Linked DNA regions of Coturnix japonica. The protein of the gene in region 2 purifies or fractionates together with the protein of the main gene of each other region. This does not show direct contact. Links are inferred from orthologs where the notes say so. Each region holds a gene or a part of one and is shown on either strand. Other genes may lie near its edges. The genes, in order: PPP2CA and ESPL1.

Region 1 (3,319 bases), on a different chromosome or scaffold from region 2:
CAACAAAAGGAACACCTCCACGTGAGCATTAGCTTTAGAATGCTCTTCTCCCTGTAAAAGGTCACGCTTCAGCAGGACTGAGCTTTCCAGAAACAGTTTGGAGCTCCACCTGAAGGTAGAATTTTTGCTAAAGAAAAAAGTAACCCCTCAAACCTTCCAGAAAAGGTGTGAATTAATGAGTTGTGAAGTGTCTTGCAAGTCTGACAATTACGCAGCCCTTCAAGAGAAAACCTCAGAAAAGCAAGGAAAAAAGTGTGTGAAGGCAGACCTGCACACATTTCTGTGTATAAGAAAGAACACCCCTCTGTTTTGTCACACTGAGCCCAAAAGCCAGAGTCTTTTAAACAGTCTGAATAGCATTGGGGCCTCCTTTCGAACAGCCAACTAAGCTCTTCTAAGATGTGTCCAGTAAGAAGTTGCAAGCAGGAGCCTTAATAATGCAGAACATTTGAATGTGTTTTGAACAAAATCGTCACCAGATTCAGATTAGGGGAAAGAAAAAGCTTTTAAACAGAAGTTAACACAAATCACACTTAGCTTTGTAACGGAAGCCTGGGCAATACACATAGTACTGAATTTCAAGTTATTCCTTTAATATTTAGAAAACTGGTTTTATTCTTAGTTTTTCAGATTTTTTCTGAAGTATTAGCACCTACAATGGAAATAACTCAGATTTACACTTGAAAAACAGCCATGCTCGATCAGTTAATTTGTATTTTTCTACTTCTGAACATTTCACAGAGCACCAAGAGGGGAAAAAAAAAAAGAGAGCAACATTTCAGTGGTGAGTGAGCTCTGTTCTCAGCTACATCACACCGCAGGACCGGGCATCTCACCAGGGCAGAATTCAGAAGGTCGCAGTTTTCCAGCACATTCCAATCACCTCATTTTTGTTTTTTCCATTATTTCCGGTGGAAATTTCTCTCCAGGTTTATAAAACCTACCCAGCTGTGCATTCGTTTATTAAACCAGAGCTGACCTGAGATGCAATTAGAATTTGACATTTTTCCATACTTAGTTCACAAGTTTATTATGAAAAACACTGCAGCTCCGTCCTGCAGTAACATTGTTTTACAGAAAAAAAACAGTTCTGTTCAAAGTAACTCACTAAGCTCCGACAATTACAAGGGACAAAATGGCTGGGCAAAGAGTGGAAAAGGGAACTGAGTGCAGACAAAAAAAATCAATACAATTAAATTAAACGGTATTCCCTGAAAACAAAAACAAACAAACAAGTTTCAGAACAAATATGAAGCCTTGGTACTTATTTTAAAAATGTTCTTTAAGCTTCAATGATTGTTTGCTGCTATCCTTATCTACAGTCATGCTGAATAAAGCTATAGCTAAATGGAAAGTTAAATGTATTCACGAGGTGTTAATGTCTACATCTTATTATTTGCAGTCTCTCAGAGAAAGCAAAAGTAACTACAAATAGCGCTATGCCAGAAACTGGTTTCTTGACCAACAATGTTGCTTCAGCATGCAATGAACTGGTTCATTCTAAAGTGGTCACAGTTGTTGACGACAAGAGGCTTTGTATTTGAATATGGCACGTCTTTTGGTCCATGTGAAAACAAGTTTGAATGTTAAATATTTTCTGACACTTTGGAGTTACTGTTGCTCTTCCCATTTTCTTTAGGTCAACATATGGTTCATGGCAATACTGTACAGGTCTATAATCTCTTTACAGGAAGTAATCCGGGGTGCGACGAGTCACATGCGGTTCACCTCTGCGCGGCGCTGGATCGAACTGCAAACTGAGAAGCACACGTATTAATGGCAGCATCCCATTCACACGCAGGTATTTTTTCAGAAGTATTTTAAACTTATCTATGGATTATTTCTATGCACTTGGAAGAAACAAATCTTGGCTTTACGACTCAAACCGGTCAGATATCAGTATACATCTAGACGCTAGGAGCCTCCAGTAATTATCAAAGAGTTAATTTACACAGTACTTTATACAATTCCTCATTTATTAGTAAAACTGCTACAGCAGCTCCAGAAGTCAACATCCTAACAAGACTGTCAGTCTCTTGCCCTAGACTTAAAGGTGGGCATAATTACCTCAGGTAATCCAACTTAAAATGAAATACTTCTGTAGTATTTCATTAAACTCTGACTTTATTGTATGTAATGAGCTTAATGACAGCTGTCCAGATGTCAGCAACAACAGTTTCCAATATCTGACTGTAAAGCTTCTTACATATGAGTAGCCCAACCATTCCACTGTCAGGTCACCTCCTGAAGGTGTACAGGGTAAAAACCCTACCTCAAAACCACAATTAGTTACTGTAGCAAAATACCACTTATTAGATCTTAAAATCATGTGCAACACAGACCTCATTTCTAAGCGTACTTACAAGGAGTATTTTAAAGTATCATCAAGTTCCATAATTGCAGCCTGGTTGCCACAACGGTAGCAATAGTTTGGAGCACTGAAAATTGTTACTACATTCCGATCATGGCACCAGTTGTACCCCTGGAGAGGAAAATAAACTATTTAGGAAAACCACATTCATTTGTTGCACCCCGTAACTTACTACTAAACTACATAGGCTTTGCAGTTTTAAGTAACACTAAGCTCTGTGTCTATTTCTCTTCTCAAATGAAAAGGGAAAATAGGAATTGCATACCATAGCATATAACATCATCCTATAGTAAGCATTAGATAAGCACATTTAAAAAATAGCAAGACTTCTCTCTCCACTACTTTGTTAAAAATTAAAATACCAATTCTGAGTTACACGATGTTTTAAAGGTGTGGGTTCTGGTTTTGATGATTAGAGGTTAACTTCTAGGAACAACCAAGAAGAAAACCACACACAAACCTTGTAAAGAGGCCAAGTGCACATCTCGGGCACCACAACAACTGACTACACTATAAACAGCTTAAACACACAGCCTTTGCTGCTTACCTCCATTACCAACTGATGGGCTCTTGAAACCAGCGTAAGGCCATTAGCATGGTTAAAGGTTTCTGAAATATCCTGTCCAAATGTATAACCTGCACCTCGAGGAGAAATTCCCCAGCCACCACGATCATCTGGATCCGACCACAACAGATCACACATTGGACCCTGTAAGAGATTTGGAAAGTGTTTCATAAATTGAAGCAAAAAAAAAAAAAAAGGCAAGAACAAAAAACATAACCTACACACTCACGTTGTCCCTTCACACCTCAGCATCTCTTTAAGGCTTGGCAAAATAACGTAAGAAAAACCCCACCTGCCACCTACAATAGTTAGTGTAGTTAAAGCTTGAAATACTAACAAGGAAGTTAATTTTAATGAAAGAAAAATTCACAGAAGTAGCTCTC
Region 2 (4,261 bases):
CTTGATGGCCACACCGGGCAAGAACAGCATCCACTGCTCTGGGGGGCAGGGAGTGGGTTGGGGCAGCCGCCATCACGGCCGGCTTTTGGTTTTACTTTCGGTTTCGCCGAGTCCCGCCCACCTCCTCGTAGCTCGCTGCTGATTGGCTCCGAGGCGGGACGGGAAGAGCAACGCCGCCTCCCATTGGACGAGCCACTCGTGGCAGGTGAAAGACGCGCTGCGATTGGTCCGAGGGTGGCATCAACTCTGATCGCTGCATCTCGGTTGGGATGAAGTTCGGAGCTCAGTGACCTCGAGATCAGGCATTTCCAAGCGGGACAAGAGTTCGGCCCGTTGTCTGTTAAATCATTGTCTGTCAGATCATTGTCTGTCAGCCCATTGCCGGCCCATTGTCGGCCCATTTTCGGCCCATTGTCAGCCCATTGCCGGCCCACTGTTGCTCCTCCACCATCACCCCCAACACCTTATTCCGAACCCTCTGATCCCCCACAACGGCTCCTCTTGTCCCAAAGAGAGCCGTGACAGCCAGAGAAGCTCTTAAGGACATCGAAGGGGAACGTGCTGGTGCCCTCTGTTAACATGTGATGCTCTCTGTTAAGGTATTGATGTCTTCTGTTAAGGTATTGATGCTCTCTGTCAGCCTTTAGTCCAGTTCTGCCCGCTGTGTGGATCCCATCTCACGGGCTCCACCAAATCAGTGCAGTTTTCCTGTTGTTCGTGTTTCTTTTCATAGAATCATAGAATTTCCCAGGTTGGAAAAGACCTCGAAGATCATCACGTCCAACCTCCGCCTAATCATAGCACCATAACTAACAACCCTCTGCTAAATCATATCCCTGAGCACCACATCCAAACGGCTCTTAAACACATCCAGGGATGGCGATTCAACCACCTCTCTGTTTAGCCTATTCCAGTGCTTAACTACCCTTTCTATGAAGAAGTTCTTCCTAACATCCAACCTAAACTTGCCCTGGCACAACTTGAGGCCATTTCCCCTCATCCCGTCACTTGTTGCTAGTGAGAAGAGACCAGCCCCACTCTCACTGTAAGCACCTTTCAGATACTGGAAGAGGGTGATAATGTCTCCCCTCAACCTTCTTTTCCCCAGCACAAACAGCCCCATCTCCCTCAGCCTCTGCTCATAGGGCTGATTCTCCAAGCCCTTCCCCAGCCCTGCTGCCCTTCTCAGGACCTTCTCCAGCACCTCCATGTCCTTTTTGTACTGAGGTGCCCAAAACTGAACACAGCACTCGAGGTGAGGCCTCACCAATGCTGAATACAGGGCAGGATGACTTCCCTGGTCCTGCTCACCATTCCTGGTACAAGCCAGGATGCCATTGGCCCTTTTGGCTCATATTCAGCCCACTGTCCATCAGCACAACAAGGTCCCTTTCCATCAGGCAGCTTTCCAGCCACAACACCTCAACCCTGTAGGGCTGCCAGGGGTTGTTATGACCAAAATGCAGGACCCGACATTGGTCCTATTGAAACTCGTGCCGTTAACCTTGGCCCATCCAGTTCCCTCTGCAGTGGATACAGCAGCACACGCTGATAAGGACACGTTATCACACGTTGTGTGCCCGTTCCTCCCGTCCGGGCTGTGTGGGCAGCGCTGAGCAGCGATAACATCCCAAGGACGGAGCAGCGCAGGGGAGGGACGGGGCGGCAGCGCAGCCCCATAACGGCGGAGCTCCGTTCCGTTCTATTCCATTCCGGTCCGTTCTGTTCCGGTCCGTTCCGCAGCTCCAGCCTCACACAGCCCCTCCTGCCGGGCCCGACCCGCTCCGCTTTCCTCGGTCCCGGTCTCGGTCTCGGTCTCGTTCTCGGTCTCGGTCCCGGTCTCGGTCTCGGTCCCGGTCCCGGTTCCGGTCCCGGGGCGGAGCTCAGCACTACAAGTCCCGGCGTCCCCCCGTTGCGCGCTGATTGGCTGCGGGACAGACTTGAATGGGGCGCGTGGCGGGGCTGGAGCTCAGTTAGAGGCGGCGGCGGCGGGGACGGAGTGAGTCCGAACCGGGGGGAGCGGGGGGTTTGGGTACCTATAGGGGGGGTGGGGGGAGAGGAGGGATGGGGGAGAAGGGATGGAGGAGCCTGCGGGGCCCTGGGGGCTGGGAACGAGGAGTTGGAGGGAGCGGGTGCGGGGGGAGTTTAAGGAGGCCCCGGGGTGGGGGTGGGGGGGGCAGTGGGAGTCTGGGGCGTTAGGATAAGGGTGGTGTAAGAGTGGGGCTGGGTGTGGGGCTGCGGTCAATGAAACGGGGAGCTGATGGCACAGAGGGGGCTTCAGTCCTTGGGGAGGCTGAGGATTGGGAATGGGGGGGATTGGCGAACCTTGGGGGGGAGAGAAGAGCCTGCTGGGTGGATTGATGTGGGGGGGATGGATGTGTGCCCTAAGGAATGGCTTTTGGAGGAGAGAGGGGGGTCTGATACCTGAGGGCCGCTGGGGGGCTGTGGGGTGGTGGAGAGGGGGGGTGGGAGAGAGGAGAGAACGGGGCTCAGGGGGTCCCTGAGCACTGAGAGGGCAGCCCTTGAGTGGTGGGAAATGGGAGTTCAGGCTGGGGGGGTTTCACGCAGTGGGACATCTCTGCCCCCCCCTTCCTTCTCACCTCACTCCCCCATCTCTGTCTCCCCAGTGCTGCCATGAAACGCCTCAAAGGTGCCAACTTCGTGTCCCGCACCGCCAGCCTGGAGAGCACAGAGGAGCTGCTGACTGAGCTGCTGGTGAGCTGAGGGGGGTTGGGGGGGTCCCACCTCTTTGCTGAGCGACCCCTGATTGCACACTCGTTCCCTCTTTCTGCTCCCCTACAGCAATGCCTCTCCAGCAGCACAGCAGTGCAGGGCAGTGCACAGAGCACAGTGTGCGACCGCATCCTGCGGGCCTGCGTGCAGCGCGTGGGGGAGCCCAGCTGCGACCTCACACACACCAACGCAGTGATGGCCTTGGCCGAGGCAGCCTGCAGGGGCTTTGTCTGCAGCAGCACTGCCCCGCCGACCCCTCTGTACCTGGAGAAGATCCTCTTCCACCTGCTGAAGAACATGGCTGCCCGTGGCTATCGTGACGCCTGCAGGAGGGCAGCGGAACTCATCCTCGCTCAGCTCCGCGCTCACCAGCAGCACCACGCGCCGTCACCCAACTTCAGTGCTATTGCCCACAGCTGCTTCTCCACGCTGTGGGGCACCAAGGGGACGCTGCGGGACCGCCTGCAGGCCCTGCGCTTCGTGCTGCTGCTGGAGGATGAGGAGGGGGCCGCGCTGCCCCTGGTGCCGCCCTTCTTCACCTCGCAGGTTGCCCGGCAGCTGGTGGCTGTGGCCTCCACTCTCTCCAAAGCCTCCCAGGCTCCGTCCTTGTCTTGCCTTGGCCGGGAGCTGCAGGGTGTCCTGACCTCCCTCCGTGAGGACATGGCGCGGCCGCCCTCTCTGCCGCAGGCCCTTTGCTTGTTGGAGCTGCTGTTGGAGCAGTGCCGGCAGCTCTGCAGGGGAGGCTGCTATGGGGAGGCGGAGGCGGCTGTGAGAGATGCACGAGGATTCCTGGGGGGCTCCAAGGTGTGCAGCGAGGCCCTGGCCCTGCTGGAGGCTGGCGTGCAGCTGAGCCGGGTGCTGGCCCAGAAGGTGGGCTCAGCAGGGCCGGCCCTGGCGCAGGCAGCGGCAGCGCTGGGTGGTGCAGGGAAGGTCTCGGGGCGCATCCTCAGGGTGCTGGCTGAGGGCTGCCAACTTGTCACCATGTCCCTCAGTGAACGTGCCAGGAGCAGCCAGCAGCAGCCGCTGCCTCCGGAGGATGTGCTGCAGCTCTGTGCCTTCGTGGAAGGGCACTGCCGTGTCCTTGGCCTGCTGCTGGCCATGGTAAGGCTTTGGGGGTTAATGAGAGCTCTCCTGTTAATTAGGAGCGCTGGAGGCCTTGTAGCCCTGCCAGCAGTGTCCCGCTTCCCAATGGTCATGCTGCTGTTGTGGCCTCGCAGTTGACTTTCTCCTTCCTCCTTCAGGTTCCTCCTGATGGCACAAAGCAGCGGCTTGTGCTGAAGCAGCTGCTGCACCGCAGCCTCCAGCTCTTCACCAGCTTTGCCTGCGATACCTTCCGCTCCTCCCAGGTACTGCTGGTGATGGGGGCAGCATCCAATGGGGCTCACAGAAGCTCCTGGAGCTGCCCCAGAGATGTGCCCTCAGTCCCTGCAGGGCTCTCCATGGGACCCCCATCCCTCTGACTGCATCCCTTGCAGGTGTCTGGGTGGTCGGGGCAGCAGCAGCTGACATCAGGCTGCCGGGACACCGT

Evidence for each region.
Region 1: the proteins of ESPL1 (region 2) and PPP2CA purify together in Homo sapiens (affinity purification with mass spectrometry; 3 studies listed by BioGRID and IntAct, with this or other methods). This does not show direct contact. The link is inferred for Coturnix japonica from reciprocal best matches to the Homo sapiens genes ESPL1 and PPP2CA.

The regions. Positions count from the first base shown.
Region 1 is NC_029528.1:2,267,948-2,271,266, forward strand, and holds the end of PPP2CA (serine/threonine-protein phosphatase 2A catalytic subunit alpha isoform), read right to left. Parts: intron 3,081-3,319; coding exon 2,919-3,080; intron 2,483-2,918; coding exon 2,364-2,482; intron 1,758-2,363; coding exon 1,685-1,757; 3' UTR 573-1,684; downstream 1-572. UniProt on the Homo sapiens protein: Catalytic subunit of protein phosphatase 2A (PP2A), a serine/threonine phosphatase involved in the regulation of a wide variety of enzymes, signal transduction pathways, and cellular events.
Region 2 is NW_015439867.1:541,746-546,006, reverse strand, and holds the start of ESPL1 (separin), read left to right. Parts: upstream 1-1,403; 5' UTR 1,404-1,999; intron 2,000-2,627; 5' UTR 2,628-2,634; coding exon 2,635-2,715; intron 2,716-2,802; coding exon 2,803-3,834; intron 3,835-3,974; coding exon 3,975-4,079; intron 4,080-4,208; coding exon 4,209-4,261. UniProt on the Homo sapiens protein: Caspase-like protease, which plays a central role in the chromosome segregation by cleaving the SCC1/RAD21 subunit of the cohesin complex at the onset of anaphase. During most of the cell cycle, it is inactivated by different mechanisms.